4 linked regions of the Astyanax mexicanus genome follow. The protein of the gene in region 1 binds, or shares a complex with, the protein of each later gene. Links are inferred from orthologs where the notes say so. Each region holds a gene or a part of one and is shown in the gene's direction. Other genes may lie near its edges. The genes, in order: mybl2b, lin52, e2f4 and lin9.

What was found.
Region 2: the proteins of mybl2b (region 1) and lin52 are in contact, whole or in part, in a crystal structure (PDB 6C48), measured with the Homo sapiens proteins. The link is inferred for Astyanax mexicanus from reciprocal best matches to the Homo sapiens genes MYBL2 and LIN52. Residues at the interface, in NP_002457.1 of Homo sapiens: Trp663, Val666, Ala667, Gly669, Thr671, Asp673, Gln674, Phe676, Lys680, Ala681, Gln683, Leu684; in NP_001019845.2 of Homo sapiens: Gln84, Ala87, Tyr88, Gly91, Leu92, Glu94, Ser95, Met98, Thr99, Lys102, Phe103, Leu107, Glu108, Lys109.
Region 3: mybl2b (region 1) and e2f4 share a complex: the UniProt entries of both Homo sapiens proteins name them as parts of the DREAM complex. The link is inferred for Astyanax mexicanus from reciprocal best matches to the Homo sapiens genes MYBL2 and E2F4.
Region 4: the proteins of mybl2b (region 1) and lin9 are in contact, whole or in part, in a crystal structure (PDB 6C48), measured with the Homo sapiens proteins. The link is inferred for Astyanax mexicanus from reciprocal best matches to the Homo sapiens genes MYBL2 and LIN9. Residues at the interface, in NP_002457.1 of Homo sapiens: Trp663, Ala667, Cys668, Gly669, Gln674, Met677, Gln678, Ala681, Arg682, Leu684, Leu685, Arg687; in NP_001353174.1 of Homo sapiens: Lys356, Gln385, Arg386, Tyr388, Ala389, Thr390, Val392, Leu393, Leu395, Glu396, Asn399, Leu402, Asn403, Leu406.

The regions. Positions count from the first base shown.
Region 1 is NC_064431.1:7,420,348-7,427,727, forward strand, and holds the start of mybl2b (v-myb avian myeloblastosis viral oncogene homolog-like 2b), read left to right. Parts: upstream 1-4,300; 5' UTR 4,301-4,523; coding exon 4,524-4,552; intron 4,553-5,935; coding exon 5,936-6,023; intron 6,024-7,310; coding exon 7,311-7,380. Other genes in the region: uncharacterized protein si:ch73-303b9.1, read right to left, coding at 1,048-1,685, 3,091-3,106. UniProt on the Homo sapiens protein: Transcription factor involved in the regulation of cell survival, proliferation, and differentiation. Transactivates the expression of the CLU gene.
Region 2 is NC_064421.1:48,536,627-48,544,532, forward strand, and holds the start of lin52 (protein lin-52 homolog), read left to right. Parts: upstream 1-4,795; 5' UTR 4,796-4,870; coding exon 4,871-4,889; intron 4,890-6,194; coding exon 6,195-6,269; intron 6,270-6,408; coding exon 6,409-6,446; intron 6,447-6,982; coding exon 6,983-7,049; intron 7,050-7,192; coding exon 7,193-7,276; intron 7,277-7,906. Other genes in the region: pomt2 (protein O-mannosyl-transferase 2), read left to right, coding at 1-133, 584-675, 752-828, 921-992, 1,076-1,135, 1,802-1,918, 2,025-2,130, 2,601-2,741 and 2 more.
Region 3 is NC_064417.1:15,562,103-15,569,486, reverse strand, and holds the start of e2f4 (transcription factor E2F4), read left to right. Parts: upstream 1-4,286; 5' UTR 4,287-4,530; coding exon 4,531-4,686; intron 4,687-7,384. UniProt on the Homo sapiens protein: Transcription activator that binds DNA cooperatively with DP proteins through the E2 recognition site, 5'-TTTC[CG]CGC-3' found in the promoter region of a number of genes whose products are involved in cell cycle regulation or in DNA replication.
Region 4 is NC_064408.1:79,656,574-79,664,513, reverse strand, and holds the start of lin9 (protein lin-9 homolog), read left to right. Parts: upstream 1-4,860; 5' UTR 4,861-4,905; coding exon 4,906-4,936; intron 4,937-7,202; coding exon 7,203-7,235; intron 7,236-7,372; coding exon 7,373-7,464; intron 7,465-7,940. UniProt on the Homo sapiens protein: Acts as a tumor suppressor. Inhibits DNA synthesis. Its ability to inhibit oncogenic transformation is mediated through its association with RB1. Plays a role in the expression of genes required for the G1/S transition.

The DNA.
Region 1 (7,380 bases):
AGACTAATAAGCTGCAGTTCTTCTGAATGTTTAAAGATGTGCAATGTAGACAATTTTCCTTTCCACACAAAGTGAATTAAGTCATTTAAGACATGTTACTGAAGTTCAGCACTAGAGTTAGTTTGACACTAGTCAAGTCGACTGAGAAGCAAGAGCTATATACTGTTATCAGCACATACTGTTGCTGCACCTAGACCTGACCAACTGTAGCATCACTTACATACTTAAATCCAGGTGGAGACTTTTTTTTGTTGGCCAGGCAGTGTAGGAATGCACTTTATGCCTCCTGTAACTTACAGGACTGAAACAATTGAATCCTCCAGTACATACTCTACGTATTCTCAGTGAACCCAAAGTGCAATAGAAAAGTGTACTCATGTGCACAAAAGTATTCACATTCATTAATCAGATAGATGTATATATAGTAGGGATTAATTCTGTATAAGTTGAAGTATTAACTCTTTTTACTCAAGTAAAAGTGTAACAGTATTGGATTCAAAACTACTTAAAGTATAAAGGTTAATGTATTGTAAGCAGACAAAAGATGCCATAAAGGACAAAGGGTCCTATAGGACACGTGTGCAGATGTGATGGATTGCATATAAATCAAAAGGGTTTTGGAATGGTATGTTTATACTTCTCATCCAATCACAATCAGACTCACTCTATCTGGATATGTTTTTTTTAATAAAGAGAAGTCAGAATGCTGAAGCTGAAATGAAATAAGAGTAACAGGGCTATTTTTAAAATGGCAAGAAGTAGAAGTAGAAAGTTCAGATAACTTAGTTACTTGACACCTCTGCATGTGCACATTATATATACACCTATGCTTTAATGTTTATAATTCCAATAAAGTCTCCCTCTTTTATTGTTCTTTGAATAACAATTTAATTAAATGCATTAATACCACAGTTTATTTTAAGGTACAAAAATACACATTACATACAGTTGTAATACAGCCATTAAATACAGTTTCAAGCAGGCAGCTAATAGCTAATAGTTTCCAATAGTGCCCCTAAAAGAAAACATTACAACATCAGTACACAATTAGATAGCCAAGTTTTTGGCCAGACCTTTCTGCTGTTCCTCTGCAAGCTCCAAAACAGCATGGCGCAGATTGGAATCCTGGAAGGTAGACCTCAGATACTCCTCCGTGGCAGATTTGCCTGGCGGAGTCCCCGAACAGATCAGCGAGGAAATCTCTGCCAGCGTTTGAGGAACTGATTGATAACTGGGGCTCCATGTTGACTCAAACTTGCTGGAGTCCAGGCACAACTTTGGGCTTTCCACAGAAGGCCTGATTTGAGAGACTTCCCATAAAGGGTGGGAGGTGGTCAGATCAATGCAGGACAGGTCCAGCGAGTTGACCAGGATGGGCTTTAGGAATTTAACCCTTTCGTAAGGCGTGGAGGACTTGCCTGCTACCAGATTATTCAGGCCAGCAGTCAAGGTGGTGCTTGGAGACAGTAGAGAGCTCTTGCTGGGGACATTTAAAGGTGACAAAACATTAGAGGAGTGATCAAAAGAAGCTGGTAGAGCAGGAGCGGCCTCTGAATATTCTACAACAATCTCCTTGGGTGGCTTGAAGGGATCCATCTGAATGGACAAAGCAGAAAGACTGCCATCTGTGACAAAGCCCCTGTCCAACCCTGACAAAGACAGGCCCTCAAAGGTCTTCACACCGTCTAAAAAGAGAGAGAGAGGACAGTTCACACATTGGGGTGCTAGTGTGTCCCAATAATAAACATTTTAAAATATCTACAGTACCATTCAAAAGTTTGGATACCTTGTCAGTGTTTTTTTTTTTTTCTCTTTATTTCCACATTGTAGTTTAATAATAAACATGTGAAAACAACTAAGGGATAAATATGGAATAACATTGTAAATAGTAAAACAAATGGTTGTCCTCCACAACAAACTGATCTAAACCTGATCAACTGAGATGGAGATTTGAGGTGATTTTGGATGAGCTGAAGTTTCACAGCGTGAAGGTAAATCAGCAACTATTGTTCAGCACCTACAGGAACTACTTCAAGAAACTGAGAAAACTATTCCAGGTGACTCTCCCTCATGAAGATGCTGAGATTAAAATACCAAGAGTGTGCAGATCTGTCCTCAAAGATAAATGTATCATATTCTGGTTTGTTTAACACTGTTTACACAAAAAATAAATAAATAAATAAAGAAGACATTAAATGTAAAGAGGTGTGTCTAAATGTTTGCTGGTACTGTATGTACTGGTTTTAGATAAATAACCAACCAGTTCTAACTAGCATGCTCAGTGCCATTGCACATAATCTCTAAAAACCTATGGATGGTCACTTTATAATGCTGACTTATGTTTCAACCATTTTGTGTAAAAAAAATCAAATCCAAACTATGTATATGGGACATAAAACATGAAAACAAAGCACTTGAATTGTTAAAACATTTTGAACCAAACTGTAAAAGCAAAAACACTCCTTTAAAAAGGAACTATCTTAGTTTTATCTCCAGCACGGTCAGACAAATAAGTCAGATGAAATAACATGCATTCAAACACGGTCCGGTGATACTGCTTTTAATATGCTCAGTGGGTTATATATCACTCTGAAACGAATTAAAATAATGGATAAAGTGCTGTAAAGATTTTTTTAGGTATCTGTGGCACATAGCTATAATCACCATGGGCTTCTTTAGGTTAAAATTGTAATATTAAAGAGCTAAATAGTAGTATTTAACATTGTAATTCAAAAAACCTCTTTAAATAACCACATTTTTCCTGTCCCAGCCAAGTTATATAACTGACTAGCTATTTCACAGTGCTTTTGTTATTAAATTTTGAACCAATTTAACATTAGACACAAAAAATATTTTTAGTAACTTTTACCTAAATGCATTCCCCCCAACTAATTAATGTTTTAAAAATGATTACCAGATCCTTGCTCCAACAGAAAGGATACTAGCCAGTTAATATAGCCAGATTACTGTTTATTGTGCTACTCTTGAGTTACAAGAGCTTAATAGACTCCAATCATGAATCTAACCGAGAAACAGCCACAGTAAACACATGCACTGATCTAAACAGAACAGCCATATTGCCAGGCCTACCCCTCTCTTCCTCCATCCCTGTGCAGATTAGGCCTCACTCACTCTCAGCTTGTATTTATAGGCTTGCATCGTTTTTCTGCTCAGTTTTATTGGAATCTTTAATCAAACATTTTAGATATATTTCTATAAATTACTTTTCAGACAAATACGATTGAAATTTAAAATAAACTTAAAATAAACTTTTTTTTTAAATAACATAACTGAAGTATTATTCAAAGTAAAAAAAATGTTAATACAATAGAAATGAACAAAAATGTTAAATGGAATATATGTAATAGCAATATTGAATAAAAATAGCTCATTTTCAAATGTAAAATACAGTATGCAACATTTCACACAGATACAAGTCTTATTAAAAAATGCAAAAAATGTAAATAGTAATAAAAATTTACCAACCCCTATGAAAAAATATTTTCTGACACTTCTTCAATAAAATCGTGCAACATCAGATAATAAAAAAGGAATTAATAAATAAAAAAAATAATATGCACATACACAGACAAAAGGTTAAAAAAAATCTTACAAGCATTATTCAAAATCGCACACACATACCATCATTTTTATTAATAAAAAAGTCAAATGAATTAGTAAAAAAACCTAAAAGGTTTACTAAAAAACTAAATAGAAAAAAATTACAGTTGTACTAAACCTGTGCAAATATAAACACAACACGTAATTTACTTCAAGGTAATCATTTTTATTTTAATAAAACAATTGTAAATAGCTTTTTTTTACTGGATTTTTACTGAACGTTAAAAACATTAAATAAAGTCTTACTAGAACTATGCAAAAGCGCACACACAGCTACAATTTTTTTTCTATTTTTCTTTTATTTTTGGCTAGTTATTTATCTTTTTTACATTATTTAAAAATTAACATAACAGGCAAAAAAATAAACAAGATCGCAAACATTGCTGCAGTTACTTTATGCAAAATATTAATAAAAAGATAAAATAAAAAAATGCAAAACGAGCAATTTAAAAACAAAAAATAAATTTAAAAATAAAAACAAAACTATACGTCATGTAATTAATTTTGTGCAAAAAATGTTATTTTAATGGAACAATTACCTATTTTCTGATATATTTATGTATATTTTACATATTAATATACTGGTTAATTTATTAATAATTTGCCTACATTTGTGCTCTTGTCTGGGTCTTGGTGGTGCGCATGCGCGTGACGTCGCTCCCGGGAAAGCCATACGAAAAAAGCGCGGAGTTTTAGTTTGCGGATCTGCAGCAGCAGCAGTAGCAGCAGAGCGACTCCTGTGTGCTCCAGAGGCTGTGGGTCCGAGCGAGAAGTTTTAGAACATTTCTGCCCTTAATAATTAAATACAGAGTCTGGATTTAAAGCATCTCACTGCATGAAGCGCAGAATCAGAGGAAATTGGCGGGTTTTGATCAGAGGATCTCGGATAAACGCGCCTAGAGATGGAGATGTCCTTTTCTAGGACGCGCGGGTAAGTTAATAACTCAGATAACACATATTTACTGATCTGTATTTTGGAGGAAAATTAAAAATATGATGTTTAAATCATGAATAAACAGCTTTTAGATGGTGGTAAAGTTTGACATGGCTCTATTGTTGAAATCAGAGTTTGTAATTGTAGCTTTAGGTTTAGCCAACCTAAACAACAAGGGGAACTGGAGACCCGCCTAAATAATATAACAACTAACTAGTTTACTGTTTATTTGTTAAAAAAAAAGAATTTGTATTATACGTTTATTTGGGCTTTTGAACAATCTACTCTAGTTTAGAATTGTTCTAATATTTATGAAATTTGTTTTACATTGTTTTTTATTGTATTTTATTCAAGATATAAGTAGATAGTCCAGGTCCGGAAAGTAGAACTCCGTTTCCAGGATTTCGTTCTAACTGTCCGGGCAGTTTTGTGTATAGCGCGGCTGCAGCGGAGCCGCCTAAGCTGTTGGAACGAAATCCTGGAAACGGAGTTCTATTTTTCGGACTTGGACTGCCTACATTAAAGCAAGTAAGCAAGAAAAAAAACTCATTATTATAGGTAGACTGTTTATAATTATTGCAATCTGTTTGCATGAAGTTCAAAGTAACTGTAGACGCATTTATATAACTTTGTTCACGTTGTTAAGTTACTGTGATTCCTAACTAGTTAACTGCCTACAAAATAAAACAAAGTTTTACATAGTAATATGTTGTTTTTAAAGTTAAAAGCATCATTGGTACCTGAATTTAGACCACATTTCACGAAATATAACCTAGCTAGTCTTGTGTGTAGGAAGAAATGTAGATAAAACAATGACCTTTTAACCCTCTGTATCTATTGCATTATATTTGTATTTGTTCAGAATAAAAATCAGGCCATTTTTATATCAATCCACTTTATGTGTTCTGTAACTGTGCAATGTTGCCCAGAGACAGGAAACTATAACCAAAAAAAACTTTTTTATGAGGTAATTGATGGCCAAAATAGACCTCCACAATATTTCTTTTCATTATAAAACATTTAGGGAATTGAATATCTTAAACTCGATAAATGTACACAAACATTTCCTTGGGCCTAAATGTGGTTGAAGGACACATTTGAAATATATCTCTTTGTTTTTGCCTGTATAATGAAGCTCCGTGGGCAGACCCCCCACTTTCTTGTTAGCTAGTTAATTCTACTACTCTATAATTAGCTAGACAAGTGTTTACATAATCACAGCCATTTGTACTAGCTGACAAGCTGGTTTTCCTAGGAATGAGCTAGAAACACTACAAGTTCTAATGATGTCACTACAACTCAGCACACTGCTGCTGATGACCACATGGTCATCGTGTTAGCTTGTTAACAAGAATTTCCTGTTTGTTTAAATGTTTGCAGAGAGGATCCAGATTGTCAGGACACTGATTCTGATGTAGCAGACCAGAAGGACTGCGGGAAAGTTAAAGTGAAGTGGGCGCAGGAAGAGGTAAATTAGCCTGTATGGCTAAAAGTCGAGAGCATTAATGGGAGATCCAACGGCCACAAAACTTAGTTACTGTAGCAACATTTAACACAATTGTTAAGATCCACCACATAACAGCTAATTTGCTGTAACCAGCAATGTTAAAGACAAACTTTAAGTTCCAACACACAACTAAGTTGCTCTGGCTGTTTATGACCCGATCGGCAACATATACAACAAACGTTATCATCCGATTAACAATATTTAATACACACATGAAGATTTCAAATCTAATGTGTATCTAACCCATGTTTATGATCCAATCAATAATGTTTGACCAAGTGTTAAGATTTCAACCATAACTGAGTTGCTGTGGCTGTTTATGGTCTGATCACCGATATTTAACACAACAACAACAAGGTCCGATGCCTAACAGCGTAGCTACTGCGGCCGTTTACGACCCGAACAGTTAATTTGTTGTTTCTGGTTATGAGCTGATCAATTAATACAGATATTAAGTTCCAACAGATAACTAAGTTACTGTAGCTGTTTCTGTGCGCGATTAGATTAGCAACATTTAACACAGACATAAATATCCAACACCTAACAACGTAGCTACTCTACACGTTTATCATCCAATCAGTAAAATAAAAGCAAAACAAATTGATCCTACAACTAAGATTCTGTGGCAGTTTATGATCTGGTCTTCAGTATTTAACCCAAATCTGAAGATACACAACCCACAACCTAACAATTAATTTGCTGTTTACGTTCATGGTCTGATCAGCAACATTTAAAAAAACGTAAATATCCAATACCTAACAGCTAAGTTTCGTGTGGCTGTTTATAATCTATTAAACAATATTTAACCTAAACATTAAGAGCCAACACATAACTAATTTGCTGTTGCTGTTTATGATCCGATTACAGACATTTAACACAAACATGATCTAAAAACATATTTGCTGTGAATAAAAATCTAACAATTTATTTATGTTTTTTCCTGATAAGCAACGTTTCACACAAACATAAGGATCCACCTCCTATCGATATAGTTAATGTGTCTGTTTATGATCCAACCAGCCACACTGATCAGTATATTCAACACATGAAATACGAATTTTCAAATTAGATGTTGGAAGGGAAGCCTGCCTGCTTTGTACATATAGTACTGTTTGTACTGTTTGTCTTGCTGTAAAACAAGAGCTGTCTGAGTATAAGCTAAGCAAGCATAGTAGAGTATGGTAATATTAGCTTTCTTTCTCAGTATACATGTACTACATATCTGAGTGTTTTCTGTTTGTTTTCCAGGATGATAATCTGCGAACGCTGGTTCAGAGTTTAGGAACGGCAGACTGGAAATACATCGCCAGTTTTCTTC
Region 2 (7,906 bases), on another chromosome or scaffold:
ATGACCTGTGGCAGGTGGAGGTGTGTGGGGGGAAGAAAGGTGATCCGGTGAAGGTCCTGCGCAGTAAAGTCCGCTTCCTGCATCGCTCCACTGGCTGTGTGCTGTTTTCCTCAGGAAAAACCCTCCCAAAGTGGTGAGTGCATTAAAAATGGTGCTGAGGAGGAAAAGATCAGATTTACAACATTTAGTTAGAATTACTACAGCTTAAAGAAGAATTACTGTATTTTCTGCACTAAAAGGTGCACCGGATTATAAGGCACATTATACAACACTAGTAAGAAACAGGGATGTCGCCATGTTTTCCTTTTAATTCAGCAGATCTGACCACTAAACAGTTGTTTTAAACTACAGTTGCTACATAATGGTGCAAATTTAAGGTCTGTCCAGTAGGAACATCTCTTTACAGATTTGACATTTGGATTTACTTATCTGCTAAACTGAAAAATTCTTTTGTGAAGCATCTGTCTGGGATTAGGAATAGCAGTTATGTTCAGATATTTTAGGAAAACACTAAAGAGTTTGTGACAGAAAGGTCACAAACATTGAAAAAATAAAAATGTTTTATCTTTGTAATGTTTTAAAGGGGCTGGGAGCAGGTGGAGGTCACTTGTAGTCCATATTTAAAGGAAACTCCCAATTCCCAGTGGAACATTGAGGATCACATCAACCCCAATTGTAAGTTCTTGCAACTTAACCAACATATCCAATTTCTTTTTGATTCTTTATTATACTTTTCTTTCTCTTTATCTAGTGCCCAACATCAGTCTGCATGTGCTCAAACCTTCCTTCCTGGAGATTCTGCTGGAGTCTCATATTGTCATGATCAGGGTAAGATGAGCCCAGAAAATTATCGGTCACATTTGATGAAGTTTTAATAAAGTGTTTTGTGTGCTGAGGCAGTTTTATTGTTTTTCTAACAGGGTAACAGTGGCTTAAAACCTAAGGACAATGAGGTGAACTCTAAACCTTGGCACTGGCCCATCAACTATCAGGTAGGTTCACCTCAGAGGAATATAACAACTGACTTTTATTGTGGAAATAATCTAAAATTTATTCTTTGTTACTGTGTGTTTAGGGTTTAAGGTTTTCTGGAGTGAATGAGACGGAGTACCGAGTGTATCTGCTGGGGAACCCTGTGAGTCTAGTTCTGTCCATGTCCTTATTTTTTCAGTTTTTAATGACCAAGATACTTGTAAGTTAGAAATGTTTTAAAATAAAGAGATTTTTTACACTAATAACAGTCTTTGCAATGTCATATGTTACTTTACAACATGTGTAATAATGCCCTGCTAAGTGCAGTTCAGCCACTGACCTAGTCTTAGAGTCTCTGTAAAACACCAAATCCACCGGAGATCCTATTTAAACCTATAGATACTTACACACAGAGGTGGGTAGTTTAGGTCCAGAAAGTAAAAATCCACCCGGGGTATATTTTTACTTTTAACTAGTGGAAACAGAACTATTCTAAATATACACCTACTTATCTCAATTGTACTTGGCTGGTGGTGTCTTTCCTCCATAGACTAATTCTAACCATTTGTTTCTTAGCTCTGAATTACTGGGTAAAGTATATAAACACTGATGTGTTATTCGCACAAATAACACAGGAATGAACTACATGCTGTTCCTAGTGCTGTTAGCTCCTCCTATCTGACGAGACGGCGTTGCTGCCTGGCTTGAGCTCTGCCTGTGGGCGGTCCCGAGCCGAGGTGGGCGGGGCCATGAATACTAATTCACAGGTTGATGTAGACACGGTGCTTTTCCTGATCGACTCATTTTTCGGAATATTTTCTTTTACTAGCTGCTGCAGACAATGAGGAAGAGGTTGAGGAAGAGTTTCATCATGTGCAGCATTATAAACAACTCAGAGAGACCTGCTGTATTTCATAAAGAACAAGAACAAGAGGATTTTAGTGGAGTGAAACCTTTAACACATTTAATAAGGCTGATATTTAAATGCAAGTGAATCGGCAGAAATCTGCATGATGACCTGAACCTGACCTGACTCTCTCTCTCTACTACAGGTGATCTGGTGGCTGAACCTGTTCAGTCTGGGGCTGTTTGTTGTCATGGTGTCTGTGTGCTCTTTGGCCTTACAGAGAGGAGCTAAATTAGAGGGAGAGAGAAAAGGTAGGCGGTTAACTCTTCATAGTGGTTCAGTGTTAATCAACATATTAGATCCTCTCATCATTAATAGTAGTTCATTCCTCATATTTATGTGTGCTTTAAACATTCTTTTTTTAATTGGAAATGTTCTACACATTCTTAAATCTTTTTCACAATTATTCCAAATATTATTTAACAGGTATACATCTATTTTTAAATGAGTTCTTACTTTTTGTTTTTTAAACACACCTATTCCTCCAAAGCCATATTTGCTCTCGTTTTATTCATTCTGAATCCAGCTAGGAAGTAAATGGTTTTGTGCTCTGTGCATAAAATGTAATCATTTTTATCTTTAAAAGTGCAGAAAAATAAATATTTAAATTGACTTTTGTTTTAAATAGTTAACTGTTTTAAAAAATGTATTTAGTGTTGTGATATGTGAATTTGCTTAGTTTAAGGTTTTTACTGTGTTTGTTTGTTTGGTGTTTTTGCAGCACATTGCCGGGTTATTTTAGAAGGTGGTGGGATGCTGTTCCTGGCCTGGCTGCTTCACTACCTGCCCTTCTACAGCATGGGCCGTATTCTCTACTACCACCACTACTTCCCTGCTGTGCTCTTCAGCAGTATGCTTACAGGTACAGAAAACTGAGGACATACTCCTCCAAACAGAATAGTAGTGGTTTATGTGATAATATTCTTCTGTGTTGTTCTGCATTTTAAAACCCTGTACCATTCATAAATGTTTTAATACCAAACACAAACTTGTGAACAAAATTTGTGATTTTTTTTCTTCTTCTATTTAAAGGAATAACACTGGACACATTTCTACAGAATGTTGACCTTCTATGTAGACCACCGTATTCAAAGTATATTCTAAGAGGGGGTCAGACGGTTCTCCTGGTCGGCATCCTCTACAGGTGAGAGCGACAGCAGGCTTTATGATCGTCACAGTTCTTACAAAATATCTGTGAAGGCAAAATAAATCCTTTAACTTGTGTTAAACTTAAAAAATCTTTAAGTTACATTAATAAAAGATTGTTATATATTTTATAATTCTGGGCCATTTAATTGAAAAGTTAATATGCTGTATTTTTTGTTAGAATTCATACATAAGCAGCTCTGATGATTTTTGGGAAAATTAAAGGATTTTAAGTGCAAAAAATACGAAAAAGTTTTATAATGGCTGTTACTCGTATATTATTTAGTCTATTTTTTTCTGTTCTTTTTTTTTCCATTAATCTTTGTTTTTTTTTCCCTCTATTTGCAGCTTCTATCTGTTCCACCCTCTCTCCTATGGCATGAGGGGGCCGTTAGCTCATGATCCCTCCTCCTCCATGGCCGGACTCCGGTGGCTGGACTCCTGGGAATTTTAAAAGAAATAAAAATATCAGGGGATCGTTTTGTTTAGTTTGTTTGTTTGTTGTGAAGTTATTAGTTTATTCACTATTGAGCTGCTAAAACTTAGTGTGTTACATTTCACCCTTTAAGTATTCAACTCCAGTTTTACTCAAAACTATGTGTTTTGTGCTTGTTTTATTGTGTTAAATCTTTTTTCGTTTTTTTTTTTTTGTTCAGTACACTGCATATTGGCCTGGTTAATATAACTAGTGGTCCACATCATTTCATTTATTACATTACATTAGATAAAGGTAAATTAGAATGTGATCAGTGTTCTGAAACACTACATAATCATTATTTACATATTTTGCGGTACTTTTATTATTATTTTTTTGTTTTGACTTAAGTAAACAATCAAAATAAAAAGTGCCTTTTAAATGAAGTGTTTAAATAGTGAATTAAATGGAGTAAGACGGAGTATTAGAGTGTTAAAATTCACTATCATTTTCTGACTGAAATTATAAATCTTGTAAGTGTTAAAGTGTTAGTTATGGATTCTAGAAAGCAAGAAGCAAATAGCAGTATTGTTTTAGTTGGATTGATGTGATCTTTGGATTGATGTGAAATGGGAGGTTTTACTGTGTAAAAAAAATTAAAGTGTTTTTAAGAATGTTCTGTCATGTTCTATTTCTCGCTGGTACTGATTATATTGTGGAAACACATCAGACTTTTAGGAAGGTATATTGTAGTTAGCAAGTCACAAAAATCATGGTTGTATGGCTGTGTGAACATGCCAAATCCAATTTTTCCAAATCACAAAGCAAAAGCAAACCGCCTGTCCTTTTTTCATTTCCTGGACCTGAGCATGAACTTCAGAGCAGCTGTTTACTCTCCACTCCAGCAAAAGATGCTCCACATATGAGCTGCAAACTCTACATCTATAACCCTTTATAAAGCTACGAGTCTCTTGTCTCTCTAATATGAGGGTTTTTGTTGTTGGTGAAGAAGAAGGCGTTTATACAGGTATCAATGTGCAGCATGTGAGACGATTCAGGAACAGATTCTGTGTTCACATTATACACAGATACCGATCACTTATGGAGCCAAATCAGGGACAAAAAACTAAATCCAAAAATAAAATCTGCAACTAAAATTTAAGATCTTAAATATCAAAATACACAAGTAAGTGAAAATTTAAATAACAAAAATTGTTTAAAACAATTTCCAAATCGAATCAAAATTATATATGAGCTGAAAAAAAATTTATACACTTATTTTTGTTTATCTAAATGATTAAAATATGTGTTTAAATGTGAGACTACATTTCCCGGAAGTCTGTAGGTCACAAGAGGCGGAACGACCCACGTCAGTCGCTTCACATCTCACTAACGATTGGCTACAGGAGGTCACGTGTGTGGTTGTGAAGATGGCGTCTCCGAATGGAGGTAAAATTTAATTCCTGTGCGGGGATGAGTTTGCGGGGTTATTGCGGGGCTGTAATGCGGGGTGGTGTGTGTGTGAGATGGTCGGGGTGTGTGAGGTGCTGGTCGGTACTCGGTGAGCGGAGCTCCGCGGCGCGGAGGTCCTGCTAACGGACTGTTTACCTACAGACCGACCGAGCGCTCCTTCACCTTTACACCGGGACAGCGACCCTCAGCCCGGCTGTGTGTTAGCGAGCGTTACCCTGCTCTAACGGAGCCCTAAACACCGGGTTCACCTGTAAATTATTCTTCTAAATAAGCGACTAAATACTGTTGTTCCACGTTACTGTGTTTAAAAACACGAAGTGAAACAGGCGCAGGATACATATTTTTCTTTTGTTATGTTTATAATGTGTACTAGGGCTGCAACTAATGATTATTTTGGTAGTCGACTAATCTGATTATTATTTTTTCGATTAGTCGATTAGTCAACGATTATGTCTTCCATCTCTAAAAACTATAGAAACAGCTGACCATGATGTTTAAAAGGTATTTAAATGTCTGGATCTTGTTAAAACGTGAAGAGTATTAATATTTAGTCAGTAAATATGTAGTCTGTTGAGTTTAGGCACTTTTGGAGACAGACTTTGGAGAGACAAAGTAAAACATATTAATTATATAAATTAATATTAATTGTTAATTTATTAATATAAATTATTTGTTTCTGGATTCTAGTCCAGATGATCAGAAATCATTCCACGCTTGAGTCTGATTCTTGCTATCTAGATCAATGTAGATTATATTTACAGTCATTTATAGCTTACTGGATCAAAGAAATTATATAAAAGCGTCAACATGTCTAAACCATATACTTTAATATCAGACAAATATAACCTGAGTTAATATAAAAAGCTCTTTTAAACGAGCATTTTATAGGAAAAAAACTATCCAAACTAATCAGGCCCTGTGTGAAAAAGTATTTCACCCTAAATGTAATAACTTGGTTAAATCACTCTTGCCGGTGCTTTTTATTAATGTTTACTCAGGTTATGTTTTTCGGATATTAAAGTTTGTATGATAATTGGAAAAATATCAGACAGTGATTTGAAGTGAGAAAATGATCTCACTATGATATTTACAATAACACAAAATAAGTTGCCAGAACCAACAAAATGAAATATATGGATGAATGTAGAAAACCAACATGTTTTTTTTTTTTTTTTACAGGTTTTGATTCATTTCACAGCATTTAGTAATAATTTGAGTTACTGAATATATGGTGCACCTCTTGTTTCACAGTTAAATTTTCTCCACCTTTTTTTTTTATAGGTGAGGACTTTGAGTCCTCTTTGCTGAGCTATGAAAAGCTTGACCGAGCATCACCTGACCTTTGGCCAGAGCAGTGTAAGTTGCTGAATTATGACAAATGTTTTGTCATTTTTTTTTATTTATATATTTTTTAAAGATATGCTGAGATTGAATATGTTTCTGGTCTGTAGAAAGTATTGTCATATTTACTTCTTTAATGTTTGTTTGAAAACAGTGCCAGGGGTTTCAGAATTTGCAGCCACCTTTAAAAACGTGAGTATTGTCGCTCTACATTACTTGTTAGTATTTTTCCACACTATTAGGTGCGCTTAAAATGCTTTAATTTTTCTCAAAATCATCAGAGCTCCTTATAATCCGGGGTTCCTTATGTATGAATTCTATCAGTCAGGTATTAAGGAGCAGTAAAGACACTCCACTGAAGTACAGAGTTATACAGGAGATTCAGTTTAGTTCTCCAGCACTGAGACTGGAATAGCATTAGCATTAGCCGCTAACTGCAGCACTAGGCACTAGCTCTTTCACCACTTAGAGGTGAGTATTAACAAACTGTAGCCTGCTGCTAACCCTGGCTAGCACTAGCTGCTAATGCTAATGCTGCTGCACTCAGCCTTAGTGGAAATCTACCCAAATAAACAGTTTTTAAGAGAGGAATCTGTGTAAAAAGGGGTGAGACCTTTTAATTTAGAAGGAAAGCATGGTGACACCCCTGTTCCTTACTAGTGTTGCATAAAATGCGCCTTAAAATTCAGTGCGCCATATAGTTGTCTGATGTCTTTTTGTTTCTTCAGCCAATCACAAACTCTCCACCCAAGTGGATGGCAGAACTGGAATCAGAAGACATTGAAATGCTGAAAGGTACATTTTGATTTAATAGCATCAATGCATAATATTAGGTTTATTCATATTTTGCTTTGACTAAAAACTGCACCTTATTTTTGTCTCTTTATAATTGTGTTAATAACTGTGTTTTACTGCAAACTTTTTTTGTTCTGTCTCAGAACTGGGGAGTCTGACCACAGCTAACCTGATGGAAAAAGTTAAAGGACTACAGAACTTGGCGTATCAGCTGGGCCTGGAGGAGTGTAAGTAGATTAGTATCTAATTTAAACTAAAAACCAGAACACAATCATCACTCTCACTTTGCAGAACCTTAAATATTATACTTATTAATGCCAGTGCTGATTTTCGCCTCTAGATGGCGCAACTGATTAAAAAAACATAAATAATTGTTGGAACTGAATTGGAATTAAAACTGTGAAGTTTTAAAACATCTAAAATGTAGTTTTTCATATTTAAAGTCCAAAAAATCCTTGAACTGGACGGGAGCTATTTAATTATATCAAGGGCTTAATGAATATCCATCTATTTTTACACTATAAGGTGCATTATTCCACACTAGTAAGGGACAGGGGTGTTTTGCTTCTAATTCAGCATAAAAAATTCTTCATTCAGTTATAAATCTAAAGTTAAGTAGACAAAAAACTGTGATTCTTACAAAAAAAAATATTTTGTTTTTTTAAGTAAACAAAAAACAAAAAAAATGGAAAGTGAAATGTCTTCCACACTTCATTAATCTAGTGTTTGATTTCTGAGTTTGTTGGTGGGCTCTTTGTGTGTATAGATTTATGTTAGTATATTATTATGTTAGTAACTCGACTACAGTGCCCAGTCATCTTCTGTGAATGGTGGCAGTGGTGTTTTGCACAGAATTT
Region 3 (7,384 bases), on another chromosome or scaffold:
GGGCCCCACATTCATTTCTATGGGGAAACTTCGTACGACATTTGTACGAAAACCGTACAACGTATCATTTTATTAATTTAAAGATCTCGACAAGATCTATAAGCCCTCCGAATTTGGTCTTCGTATCTCAAAAATTGTGCCGTACACGGCTATTCAAAATTCTCCTAGTTCATTGTCTATGGGAAAAAAGGCGCACGTTTACGAAGTTTTTACGAAAACCATACGATATATCGCTTCAAAAAGCATAAGCAACCTAATCGGGTATAGGTCCTACGATACTGTAAAATTTTGTCATTCTACGTCAAAAGCTGTAGGAGGAGTAGTCGATTAAATTTCGCGAATAGAATAATAAGTAGAACTAGAAAAGGTAAAGTTCTTGAACGAACTTTAAGTTGGCTTGGAAAAGAACACTAATAACGTTAAAAAGTTAAAATAGTTGCTAAGCTTTTTCCGTCTGAAGAGTATGAAGAGTCATTGATATGCTGTTAACTTTTGGCTAAACGCTAAATGCCAAAAACGCTGAAATCTAAAAAACGTTTGGTTAAACGCTGAAATCTAAAAACATTTGGTTAAACGCTGAAATCTAAAAACGTTTGATTAAACGCTGAAATCTAAAAACGTTTGGTTAAACGCTGAAATCTAAAAATGCTTGTTTAAATGCTGAAATCGTAAAACTTTTGGTTAAACTTTTGATTGCTAATGTGTTGCTAGGCGGTTGCTAATGTTTTCCAGGTGGTTGCTAAGCTGTTGCTAACTGGTTGCTTGGCAATTGCTAACATATACCAGGTGGTTGCTAGGTGGTTGCTAGGGTGTTGCTAGGTTGTTGCTAAGGTGTTGCTATGGTATCCGGGGTGGTTGCTAAGCTGTTGCTAGGTGGTTGCTAAGGTGTTGCTATGGTATCTGGGGTGGTTGCTAAGCTGTTGCTAGGTGGTTGCTAGGGTGTTGCTAGGTGGTTGCTAGGTGGTTGCTAAGGTGTTGCTATGCGGTTGCTAAGGTGTTGCTATGGTATCCAGGGTGGTTGCTAAGGTGTTGCTAGGTGGTTGCTAGGTGGTTGCTAAGGTGTTGCTATGCGGTTGCTAAGGTGTTGCTATGGTACCTGGGGTGGTTGCTAAGGTGTTGCTAGGTGGTTGCTAGGGTGTTGCTATGGTATCCAGGGTGGCTGCTAAGGTGTTGCTAGGTGGTTGCTAAGGTGTTGCTAGGTGGTTGCTAAGGTGTTGCTATGGTATCTGGGGTGGTTGCTAAGGTGTTGCTAGGTGGTTGCTATGTGGTTGCTAAGGTGTTGCTATGCGGTTGCTAAGGTGTTTCTAAAGTGGTTGCTAGGCAGTTGCTAACGTTTTCCATGTGGTTGCTAAGTGGTTGATAAGTGGTTGCTAGGCAGTTTCTATCATTTCTAAAGTGGTTGCTAGGCAGTTGCTAACATATTCCACGTGGTTACTAAGTGGTTGCTAGGCAGTTGCTGTCATTTCTAAAGTGGTTGCAAGCTGTTTCTAAACAGTTGCTAACGTTTTCCAGGTGGTTGCTAAGTGGTTGCTAGGTAGTTACTATCATTTTTAAAGTGGTTGCTAAGTGGTTGCTAGGCAGTTGCTATCATTTCTAGAGTGGTTGCTATGCAGTTGATAACGTTTTCCAGTTGGTTGCTAAGTGGTTGCTAGGCAGCTGCTAACGTTTTCCTAGTGGTTGTTAAGGTGTTGCTAAGTGGTTGCTAGGTAGTTGCTATCATTTCTAAAGTGGTTGCTAAGTGGTTGCTAGGCAGTTGCTTTCATTTCTAAAGTGGTTGCTAAGCTGTTGCTAGGCAGTTTCTAACGTTTTCCTGGTGGTTGCTAAGGTGTTGCTAACTGGTTGCTAGGCAGTTGCTAACGTTTTCCAGGTGGTTGCTAAGGTGTTGCTAGGCAGTTGCTAACATTTTCCAGGTGGTTGCTAAGATGTTGCTAACTTGTTGCTAGGCAGTTGCTATCATTTCTAAAGTGGTTGCTAAGTGGTTGCTATGCAGTTGCTAACGATTTCCATGTGATTGCTAAGGTGTTGCTAACTGGTTGCTAGGCAGTTGCTATAATTTCTAAAGTGGTTGCTAAGTGGTTGTTAGGCAGTTGCTAACGTTTTCCATGTGGTTGCTAAGTGGTTACTAACTGGTTGCTAGGCAGTTGCTATCATTTCCAAAGTGGTTGCTAAGTGGTTGCTAGGCAGTTGCTAACGTATTGCATGTGGTTACTAAGTGGTTGCTAGGCAGTTGCTGTCATTTCTAAAGTGGTTGCTAAGCTGTTGCTAGGCAGTTGCTAACATTTTCCAGGTGGTTGCTAAGGTGTTGCTAACTGGTTGCTAGGCAGTTGCTATCATTTCTAAAATGATTGCTAAGTGGTTGCTAGGCAGTTGCTAACGTTTTCCATGTGGTTGCTAAGGTGTTGCTAACTGGTTGCTAGGCAATTGCTATCATTTCTAAAGTGGTTGCTAAGTGGTTGCTGGGCAGTTGCTAACGTTTTCTATGTGGTTGCTAAGTGGTTGCTAACTGGTTGCTAGGCAGTTGCTATCATTTCTAAAGTGGTTGCTAAGTGGTTGCTAGGCAGTTGCTAACGTTTTCCATGTGGTTGCTAAGGTGTTGCTAACTGGTTGCTAGGCAATTGCTATCATTTCTAAAGTGGTTGCTAAGTGGTTGCTGGGCAGTTGCTAACATTTTCTATGTGGTTGCTAAGTGGTTGCTAACTGGTTGCTAGGCAGTTGCTATCATTTCTAAAGTGGTTGCTAAGTGGTTGCTAGGCAGTTGCTAAAGTTTTCCATGTGGTTGCTAAGTGGTTGTTAGGCAGTTGCTATCATTTCTGAAGTGGTTGCTAAGTGGTTGCTAGGCAGTTGCTAATGTATTCCACGTGGTTACTAGGCAGTTGCTATCATTTCTGAAGTGGTTGCTAAGTGGTTGCTAGGCAGTTGCTAACGTTTTCCATGTGGTTGCTAATGTGTTGCTAACTGGTTGCTAGGCAGTTGCTATCATTTCTAAAGTGGTTGCTTAGTGGTTCCTAGGCAGTTGCTAACGTTTTCCAGGTGGTTGCTAAGGTGTTGCTAACTGGTTGCTAGGCAGTTGCTATCATTTCTAAAGTGGTTGCTAAGTGGTTGCTAGGCAGTTGCTAACGTTTTCCAGGTGGTTGCTAAGGTGTTGCTAAGTGGTTGCTAGGCAGTTGCTAACGATGAGCAGGTTTCTGAGGAGGAAGATGATGTGGATTATCGACTGGAAGACACAGACACGTGATCAGTCTGATGAGGAGGACATCAGTGCTAAAGCTGCTCCCGTTCCTGCTTCCTTTCGTGACAAAAAGCCCAGAATCATCCTGGACTATAACAAAAACAAAGGAGCAGTGGACACCATGGACAAGCTGACTGCCACCTACACTTGCTAGCCAATAACGAGAAGAGGGTCAATGTTTGTATTTTACAACATCCTTGATGTGTCTGCACACAATGCATTCAACATCAGCCACAACAGCCACAACCCCAGAGTGACCATCTGATTCAAAAATAAAGAAATTTCAGGTCTGCCCTAGCAATAAGGACAGAAAGACAAATACATTGTGCTTCACCTGCAAAAAATACTTCTGCAAAGAACACACAAAAAGTTTCACTTTTTGCCACACATGCCTCTAACAATACTAACGCACCTAAAAACTAGAACTTGATTTCTGTTGGTTTGATTTGCTTGATTGGTTGTTTGTTTGACCTTGAAAATTTCCATTTTATTATTATTATTATTATCTATAAAAAACATTTCTGTTCTTTGCCTTTTTCTTAAAGTATTTTATATATTGGTTAAAATTGACCTGTAACACCATAGATGTTACTAGAGTTAATATTATAAAACATATACATGTATTTATTTTTTACATTTAAGAAATGTGTTCTAAAACCCTTCAGTAATAGTCAGGGAATATATCAACCTTTTTTAAAGTTTTATTATTCTCTTGAGGTTCATTTGGCAATATTTTTATATTGAAAATCAGGGGTATGCTCTCAAATGAAGGGCCCAGGGGGCCCCAAAAAAATTTTTTAAAATCAAACCTTTCATGGATGATCAACCCTAACAAGGTAACTAAGAGGTGATAAACAAATTGGATCATAAATAATTGTTTTTAGGGTATCTTAGGGCTGATTTAAGACATGGGTCAAAACCGACCCGTTAACATAAGCAATAGTAACACTAGAGGAAGGTTAAAAGCCCATGCGGTGAACTCGCTGTTTTGTCGCCTCCTAAAGGAACTTCCACACGCTGCAATAATGTCTTCTTTTCATCTCCCATGATGCACTGCGTTTTAACGGCTTCAGTCATTCAAGTAGTGCAGTCGGTGTGTGTGTAGCTACGCGATCACTTGGAGCTCCGGATCCGGATCCGTGTCCTGGACTGGACTGGACTGGACCCGACCCGTGTTAAACTCGAATTTCCACTCCATGTTTCGCACACTGCTGGACTGAAGAGAAGCAATCGACTTACTCACAGATATATGACAGACTCACAGAGACAAACCGCCGACATTAAGCAGCACCAGAACTTGGATGGAATTTGACTCAGGGCGGAACGAACTGGGAGCGATGGGGGAACCTTTGCAGCCGGCGACGCCGAGCCGCCACGAGAAAAGCCTCGGACTATTAACCACCAAGTTTGTTACCCTGCTGCAGGAGGCGAAGGATGGAGTGCTGGACCTCAAAGCCGTAAGCATGACATATTGTCCGTGTCTCAAATGGTTCCGTGCTCCTTGTGTAGGGCGCTGCACAGCTCATAATATATCGGCTTCTCTGGGGAAAGTAGTGCATCGTATCTTTAAAAAATGGGCTTACCATTCCCTCATAGACCTCATTATTGATTGCCAAACCTTCCGTTACTTGTTAGTACACTAGTTAAGAAGGGAACACGGGGGTGCTTGAGATCGGACCCCAGTTAGCACGTTGTTGGTTAGCGTTAGCTAGCTAGCTCATCGTGTGCATTTACCGTGGAAACTTTTGTAATGCTTTTACAGCTTGTCTTACTCCTCTTCCCTGCTCAGAATCGTGGAGTTTTTGTTTCAGTTGTGAATCTTTTAATAAAGTTGTTCGAAAGTTAGTCTCGGCCTGTTTGACGGCACTTGGAGAGAATGAAAACAGCCAGTTAGTTGCGCGCCTCAGCATTGCAGAGCTGACTATGTGTCATGAGTTGCCGTATGTTGCCTTTATTAGTTATCTAGTTAATTAGCCATAGTGAGATTATTATTATTATTATTATTATTATTATTATTATTATTATTATTATTATTATTATTATTATTATTATTGTTATGTGGTGGAACTGGGGGTTACTGATCCTGTACTGCGGTCAAGCCAGCCTCCACTTCCACATACTTGGTCAAAGTAGCCGCCGCGTTGGGGCATTGGGACAACAGGACATTATGATGTCATTTCAAAATAAAGGCCCGTCAAATTATAACAATTGTTATTTTAATCTAGGTTTAGACCTGTATTATAAGGAATATGATATCGCAGATCAATTTCACGTAGTCCTGTAGTACACCATTTGTATATGTCACTCACTTAATAACGGGACAATATACAGACAATATAAAGGCCCATTCAATTATAACTATTTTGACTTAATATTTAGACTGTTATTAAAGACAATCCACCTGTTAATATGAAGGCTTTTTGGAATGTAATAATTGTTATACTTTAAATGATCTTTATTTTACATTTACACATCATATTGTCCTATTTTTAAGTGTGTGACTCAAAGTGCTGTACTATCAGGACTGGGTAGAACTTATCTTAGTTAGCAGATGGATTCCTTTTAAAAAGTTTAAATTCAGAGTAAAATATTATTTTTGTTATAATTTAAAGGGCCTTTATTTTGAATTTACACATCGTATTGTCCTGTTAAGTGAGTGCCGCACACACACATGCGCTATACTATCAGGACTAGGTGCCAATGATCTGTGATAATAGGGCTGCAGCTATCGATTATTTTTGTAATAGAGTACTCTACTACAAATTTATGTGATTAATCGAGTAATCGGATAAAACGTTTTTGCTTGGTTAAAGAGCAATTAATAAGACACAAGGGAAAACAAGACATTTCACTTAATAATGAATGACCAATTGGTTTCCTTGTTTAGATAAGTAATATTTTAAAATTCACAACATACTTTTTCCAAGGTACATATACAAATACTTAAAACACAATAAAGAAATAAATACCACAAGTAAAAAAATACATTTAATTACATTACTTTTAAATTTGGATTTATTGTAAGTATCAAATATAGGGTATTAATCAATAAAAACGGCATAAACATTGGCTTTGTGTTGTGCATCTTAGCTTCTGAACAGCAGAGATGTTGTTAGTTCTGCCAATAAGGGAGAAGTGTGCTGCATTCTTTTACCACCAAGCCGGTTCTCCCAAATATATCAGGACCTGTGGAATAATTGTGACGACAGAAGTATTAAAAAGGCCGTGTCTCCATTGTAATAAACTAACCACACAAATTAGACAACATTCCTAATAATCCACACTCCACAGGGCTGCCGTTATATTAAGATACATTAATGTTAATATCATTGATTTTATTCCTTTAAAATCGCTGTATTCCCTCACCGCTTCCATATTCCTGCTGCTCAACTTAAACCTCCCCCTCCTTCTTCCTGGGCGAGGGAGCTGAGTGCGTTATTTCACAATAAATATTGCGAAAATACCGCATTCAGAGACCGAGTCTTATTTTTCATGTTTAACTTTTATAATAGGATAGAGTTCAGATTGTTAAGGCTCTAATTGTTCTATTATTTTGTACATTCCTGTATTTGTTTATTATTTATTTTTTTGTTGCACATTGCTGTTTTAATATTGCACACTGCTGCTACCAAAAAAAAGCCAATAGATTGCATTACATATATATCTTAATTAATTTATTTAAATTTGACCTTTAGTGCCTAATGTGGTGTATTACAGATCACTTTGCATCACTTATATCAAGCCCACCTTTTGAAATAAGCTATTGTTAATTTGATGAATCAAACCAATGACTGACCATAGACTAATCTAAAACTGGCATAGGCCTCTCTGCTGTAAAAAAAAGAAAAAAGAAAATCGAGAATCGAATGGAATCGTGACCCTAAAATCGGAAATAATATCGAACAAAATATATATATATATATATATATTAAATATCTTTTTGATATTACCTTATGGGATGAAAACATATCAAAATATATATCGTATATCGCAATTCAGAAAAAAAATATTGAGATATAGGTTTTGATCCATATCGCCCACTCCTAGCGTAAACACGGTAGGTAACCGCAGGGTTCGTACAGTCATGAAAACCTGGAAAAGTCATGAAATTTCAAAACAGCAAATCCAACCGGAGCTTCAGCTGCTGCACTGTAA
Region 4 (7,940 bases), on another chromosome or scaffold:
TAAAAACAATAGGGTTGAGATCAGTTTGATTTAATAATGGATTTGTATTAGTGTTATCAAATATGTGACCAGCTGCAGCAAAGTGAGAGTTAAAAACCTGACAGAGTTCCTTCTGATCTGAGATCAGCTGATCATCCACTAAAGCCCTGGTACGAAAGGGATTGGAGTTCTTTTTAAGGGAATTTACATTTTTCCAGAAGTTCTGGGGGTTTGTGGAGTTGGAGATTAAGCTAAGGTAGTATTCTGATTGAACTGGGTTGAACTGTAGACTGTATATAATAATATTACAGTCTGTAAGGGGGTTTGAACTGTAGGCTGTATATAATAATATTACAGTCTGTAAGGGGGGTTGAACTGTAGGCTGTATATAATAATAATAATAATAATACAGTCTGTAAGGGGGGTTGAACTGTAGGCTGTATATTATAATAATAATACAGTCTGTAAGGGGGGTTGAACTGTAGGCTGTATATTATAATAATATTACAGTCTGTAAGGGGGTTTGAACTGTAGGCTGTATATTATAATAATATTACAGTCTGTAAGGGGGGTTGAACTGTAGACTGTATATAATAATAATAATACTGTAAGGGGGGTTGAGCTGTAGGCTGTATATTATAATAATATTACAGTCTGTAAGGGGGTTTGAACTGTAGGCTGTATATTATAATAATATTACAGTCTGTAAGGGGGGTTGAACTGTAGGCTGTATATTATAATAATATTACAGTCTGTAAGGGGGGTTGAACTGTAGGCTGTATATTATAATAATATTACAGTCTGTAAGGGGGTTTGAACTGTAGGCTGTATATTATAATAATAATACAGTCTGTAAGGGGGGTTGAAATGTAGGCTGTATATTATAATAATATTACAGTCTGTAAGGGGGTTTGAACTGTAGGCTGTATATTATAATAATATTACAGTCTGTAAGGGGGGTTGAACTGTAGACTGTATATAATAATAATAATACTGTAAGGGGGGTTGAGCTGTAGGCTGTATATTATAATAATATTACAGTCTGTAAGGGGGTTTGAACTGTAGGCTGTATATTATAATAATATTACAGTCTGTAAGGGGGGTTGAACTGTAGGCTGTATATTATAATAATATTACAGTCTGTAAGGGGGTTTGAACTGTAGGCTGTATATTATAATAATATTACAGTCTGTAAGGGGGTTTGAACTGTAGGCTGTATATAATAATAATAATATTACAGCCTGTAAGGAGGTTTGAACTGTAGGCTGTATATTATAATAATATTACAGTCTGTAAGGGGGGTTGAACTGTAGGCTGTATATAATAATAATAATACAGTCTGTAAGGGGGTTTGAACTGTAGGCTGTATATAATAATAATAATACAGTCTGTAAGGGGGTTTGAACTGTAGGCTGTATATTATAATAATATTACAGTCTGTAAGGGGGTTTGAACTGTAGGCTGTATATAATAATATTACAGTCTGTAAGGGGGTTTGAACTGTAGGCTGTATATTATAATAATATTACAGTCTGTAAGGGGGGTTGAACTGTAGGCTGTATATAATAATAATAATACAGTCTGTAAGGGGGTTTGAACTGTAGGCTGTATATAATAATAATAATACAGTCTGTAAGGGGGTTTGAACTGTAGGCTGTATATTATAATAATATTACAGTCTGTAAGGGGGTTTGAACTGTAGGCTGTATATTATAATAATATTACAGTCTGTAAGGGGGTTTGAACTGTAGGCTGTATATTATAATAATATTACAGTCTGTAAGGGGGTTTGAACTGTAGGCTGTATATTATAATAATATTACAGTCTGTAAGGGGGTTTGAACTGTAGGCTGTATATTATAATAATATTACAGTCTGTAAGGGGGTTTGAACTGTAGGCTGTATATTATAATAATATTACAGTCTGTAAGGGGGTTTGAACTGTAGGCTGTATATTATAATAATATTACAGTCTGTAAGGGGGTTTGAACTGTAGGCTGTATATAATAATAATAATATTACAGCCTGTAAGGAGGTTTGAACTGTAGGCTGTATATTATAATAATATTACAGTCTGTAAGGGGGGTTGAACTGTAGGCTGTATATAATAATAATAATACAGTCTGTAAGGGGGTTTGAACTGTAGGCTGTATATAATAATAATAATACAGTCTGTAAGGGGGTTTGAACTGTAGGCTGTATATTATAATAATATTACAGTCTGTAAGGGGGTTTGAACTGTAGGCTGTATATTATAATAATATTACAGTCTGTAAGGGGGTTTGAACTGTAGGCTGTATATTATAATAATATTACAGTCTGTAAGGGGGTTTGAACTGTAGGCTGTATATAATAATAATATTACAGTCTGTAAGGGGGTTTGAACTGTAGGCTGTATATAATAATAATAATACAGTCTGTAAGGGGGTTTGAACTGTAGGCTGTATATTATAATAATATTACAGTCTGTAAGGGGGTTTGAACTGTAGGCTGTATATAATAATAATATTACAGTCTGTAAGGGGGTTTGAACTGTAGGCTGTATATTATAATAATATTACAGTCTGTAAGGGGGTTTGAACTGTAGGCTGTATATTATAATAATATTACAGTCTGTAAGGGGGGTTGAACTGTAGGCTGTATATAATAATAATATTACAGTCTGTAAGGGGGTTTTAACTGTAGGCTGTATATTATAATAATATTACAGTCTGTAAGGGGGTTTGAACTGTAGGCTGTATATAATAATATTACAGTCTGTAAGGGGGTTTGAACTGTAGGCTGTATATAATAATAATAATAATACAGTCTGTAAGGGGGTTTGAACTGTAGGCTGTATATAATAATAATATTACAGTCTGTAAGGGGGTTTGAACTGTAGGCTGTATATTATAATAATATTACAGTCTGTAAGGGGGTTTGAACTGTAGGCTGTATATTATAATAATATTACAGTCTGTAAGGGGGTTTGAACTGTAGGCTGTATATAATAATATTACAGTCTGTAAGGGGGTTTGAACTGTAGGCTGTATATAATAATATTACAGTCTGTAAGGGGGGTTGAACTGTAGGCTGTATATAATAATATTACAGTCTGTAAGGGGGTTTGAACTGTAGGCTGTATATAATAATATTACAGTCTGTAAGGGGGTTTGAACTGTAGGCTGTATATAATAATAATAATACAGTCTGTAAGGGGGTTTGAACTGTAGGCTGTATATAATAATAATATTACAGTCTGTAAGGGGGTTTGAACTGTAGGCTGTATATTATAATAATATTACAGTCTGTAAGGGGGTTTGAACTGTAGGCTGTATATAATAATATTACAGTCTGTAAGGGGGTTTGAACTGTAGGCTGTATATAATAATAATAATACAGTCTGTAAGGGGGTTTGAACTGTAGGCTGTATATTATAATAATATTACAGTCTGTAAGGGGGTTTGAACTGTAGGCTGTATATTATAATAATATTACAGTCTGTAAGGGGGTTTGAACTGTAGGCTGTATATTATAATAATATTACAGTCTGTAAGGGGGTTTGAACTGTAGGCTGTATATTATAATAATACAGTCTGTAAGGGGGTTTGAACTGTAGGCTGTATATTATAATAATATTACAGTCTGTAAGGGGGTTTGAACTGTAGGCTGTATATAATAATATTACAGTCTGTAAGGGGGTTTGAACTGTAGGCTGTATATTATAATAATATTACAGTCTGTAAGGGGGTTTGAACTGTAGGCTGTATATTATAATAATATTACAGTCTGTAAGGGGGTTTGAGCTGTAGGCTGTATATTATAATAATATTACAGTCTGTAAGGGGGTTTGAACTGTAGGCTGTATATTATAATAATATTACAGTCTGTAAGGGGGTTTGAACTGTAGGCTGTATATTATAATAATATTACAGTCTGTAAGGGGGTTTGAACTGTAGGCTGTATATAATAATATTACAGTCTGTAAGGGGGTTTGAACTGTAGGCTGTATATAATAATAATATTACAGTCTGTAAGGGGGTTTGAACTGTAGGCTGTATATTATAATAATATTACAGTCTGTAAGGGGGTTTGAACTGTAGGCTGTATATTATAATAATATTACAGTCTGTAAGGGGGTTTGAACTGTAGGCTGTATATAATAATATTACAGTCTGTAAGGGGGTTTGAACTGTAGGCTGTATATAATAATATTACAGTCTGTAAGGGGGTTTGAACTGTAGGCTGTATATTATAATAATATTACAGTCTGTAAGGGGGTTTGAACTGTAGGCTGTATATTATAATAATATTACAGTCTGTAAGGGGGTTTGAACTGTAGGCTGTATATTATAATAATATTACAGTCTGTAAGGGGGTTTGAACTGTAGGCTGTATATAATAATATTACAGTCTGTAAGGGGGTTTGAACTGTAGGCTGTATATTATAATAATATTACAGTCTGTAAGGGGGTTTGAACTGTAGGCTGTATATTATAATAATATTACAGTCTGTAAGGGGGTTTGAACTGTAGGCTGTATATTATAATAATATTACAGTCTGTAAGGGGGTTTGAACTGTAGGCTGTATATTATAATAATATTACAGTCTGTAAGGGGGTTTGAACTGTAGGCTGTATATTATAATAATATTACAGTCTGTAAGGGGGTTTGAACTGTAGGCTGTATATTATAATAATATTACAGTCTGTAAGGGGGTTTGAACTGTAGGCTGTATATTATAATAATATTACAGTCTGTAAGGGGGTTTGAACTGTAGGCTGTATATTATAATAATATTACAGTCTGTAAGGGGGTTTGAACTGTAGGCTGTATATTATAATAATATTACAGTCTGTAAGGGGGTTTGAACGGCCCTCTCCTGAGTCTCTGTCCCAGAATGCTTCGCGTCATTCGGGCTTTGAAAAGCGGCGCGGCTCCTTCAAGATGGCGGAGCTGGAGCAGCTGCTGGACGAGAGTGAGTAGTAAACCCGGGCTCTGCTGTGGTCTACAGACCGCGTTTCAGACTATCTTGCGGGCGGTTTGTGATTATAAGCGGTTGGGGGCTTGTTGAGGTCTGTGTCGGGCTGTGAAGGCGCCGGGTCTCTGAGCTGTAGTAACTTCACCTCAGTGCTAGTTAGCAGCGATGCTAACTGCTAGGTGCTAGCTGCTAGCCGGGCTAGCCCCGGCTCAGAGCTATAAATAAAGCAGTTCAGCTGTACTTTCTCTCCGACCCGCCGGTAAACAGAGTGATTAGGACTCTCCCGGTGAGCGGAGCGGCTGCTCGGGGCTGGGAGGAGCTGGGAGCGGGGCTGGGTGTTTGTGTGTTTGAGAGCCGGGGGGCTGTGTGAGTTGATCCCGGTGTCTGAGGGGCTCTGTGTGTCTCTCTGATCTCCGCAGGTCGGTGACAGCTGCTGCTGCTCGGCTGTGTAGCTAAAGCTCTTTATCAGGGGGTCACTCTCAGCTGAATACAGATAAACAGAGATAATGGTGCTCCTAACTGCTCTTAGATTCCTTGTTCTCTCACTAAAGCTCTTTATAAAGCGCTGTTTTTCACCTACACTGCTGTAGGGTCTCGTCTGTAGGTTACGCTTTAGTTTGTTAGTTACGTTAGCTGTGGCCGGTGTTATGGCAAATTGTGCTACCTTGTCAAATCGTGCTACTCTATTTAACTCCAACAATACAAAAGAAGCACCATATTAGAGCATTTTTTTCAGTAGCTGTAGCTAGTTAGTATATTTGGATAGCATAAATTACTGTATCATGGTAACATTATGGCAATGAGAGGTCTTTTAAAATCTGCTTTTGTATATGTATTTTCTTTAATAATAATTATTGTATGTATTATTCATTTCCATTTACACTATTGTGCAATGAAAGTTAGTCCAGGTTGTTTAATGCACAAAAACTCCAAACAGATTTATAATGAAACACGAATTTTTATTTTCTAATAAGATCTATTATATGTATTATTAATTTCCATTTACACTTTTGTACAATGAAGGTGAGTCCAGGTTGTTAAATGCACAGAAAAAAACAGATTTATAATAAAAAAAAACAGGAGAAATATACATATATTTAAATAACAAGTATTATTATGTATTATTAATTTCCATTAGGTCAGCGCATGCGTAGTGTATTTAAGAAGCATGTTTCGATGAGTAGCGCATCTCGACGGAACACCCCCGGTTGTTTTCTGGGCTGTTAGCTCTGGAGTATCAGTGTAGCTACTCTGTGTCTCTCTGTTTTTATAATGTTAGCTAACGTTACTGTGTGCTGGAAGTCTTGGCTGTGCTAAAATCAGCTCGAAATCAAACTGTGCGAGCCGTTATTAGTCACAGTATAGGTTTATTTCTTACTACAGGTTGTTAGAGGAGCAGCTGGCACACCTTACAAACACACACAGCCGCCTGTCCTCCTCATAAAGGGTCCATTTACTTTACAGCAGCGCTGTAGCTACAACACCCAGCCTACAGGTCTGACCAGCTAGCTTATTAGACCTGTTAAGAGGGTAGTAGTAGTAATAAGAAATTAATAACAATAGTGCTAATAATAATAATGCTAGCCAATATTTACATTTTTACTATGTAATCCTATTAGATTATATTTATGTCTCAGAGTAAGAGGATTTACTTCAAATGACAAGTAAAACCGACAAGTAAAAAGTAAAAACTGAGATGCCCAATAATATTGTAATTGTAATTATAGATCACTTAAAAAAAAGAAGACAAAAACAGAATCTAATAATTTAACATGCTGCGAACATATATTTAATATCTTTGCTGAACATAGTAGGTAAAGCTATATGCAAAAATGAAGGTTTCCAAGTTCTAATTGTCTTTTTTTTGTTTGTTTTGTTTAATGCATAACTCCAGTTTATCATAATTATGAAATGTGCTATGCAGAAATTATGGCATTTTATTTTATTTCTTCCCAATTAATGGTAACATTTTATTCCAGAAATATTTTTGCGTCTAAGGGATTTAAAACAGTAAACCCATCCCCTGAAGTTCATCAGGTATTAGGTGCTAATTTATCTAGTCAGTTTGCCAAAACCTTGAGTTCCAAACATGATTCAAAAATGATATAGCACCTTAATATCAGGTGCTAAATTTAATTGCCCGTTCTAGTGTTTATATGTTTAGCTGTAAACATGTATCAGATTTTAAAATCTTGTTCTACAGATCACTGTTTATTTTTCCTGTTTAGAGAATTTCTTTTTTTTCCCCCTATTTTATTTACAGGCTCTTCAGCGAAAGCTCTTGTCAGTCTTAAAGGTAATTGCACTTAAAGGTTTAATATTTCTAAGCAGCTGCATACATATGCAAATGCAAATAAAGTAATTATATTAAATATGTGATTACTGTTATTCAGTTAACTGCACATTCCTCTTTGCGGTTATATGTCTTTGTAGAAGGAAGTTTGTCAAACACTTTAAATGAGAAAAACAACCTACCAAAATCTCAGAACACCAGGGGAAGGAGCAGCTACACGTCTATGGAAACGGTAAGTGGCTTGTCCGGTTGCTTGTTTAAATAGAAATAGACTAAGTTTTATTTGCCTGATTATTTAAGGTACACTTAGATGACCAGGCAGACGTACCATAATGAGTCCTGTTTCTTGTATGTGGAGCTGATGTGCGTGCATGCATGCTGATTCAGGGAAAGATTGTTTACATTACAGGCATGTTCCACTTACATATATAGATATTAATCGTCAAGTTGGCCAAATCTGATCTGAGTTTAAAGAAAAACAAATTGATTTGAGATTTAACATGAACATAGTCTTTGGTTATATTTATGTGGTTGATAAATTATATAGATTAATGTGTGCATATTTGTGGTTTGGTATGCATGTCTCAGTTTTGTTGTCTTGTTTTGTTTGTTCTGGATATATTTAAATACCCATATTTGTACTTGAAGTGGCTTACAAAAGTATTCACATTTTGTCACCTTACAACCACAAACCTAAATATATTTTAT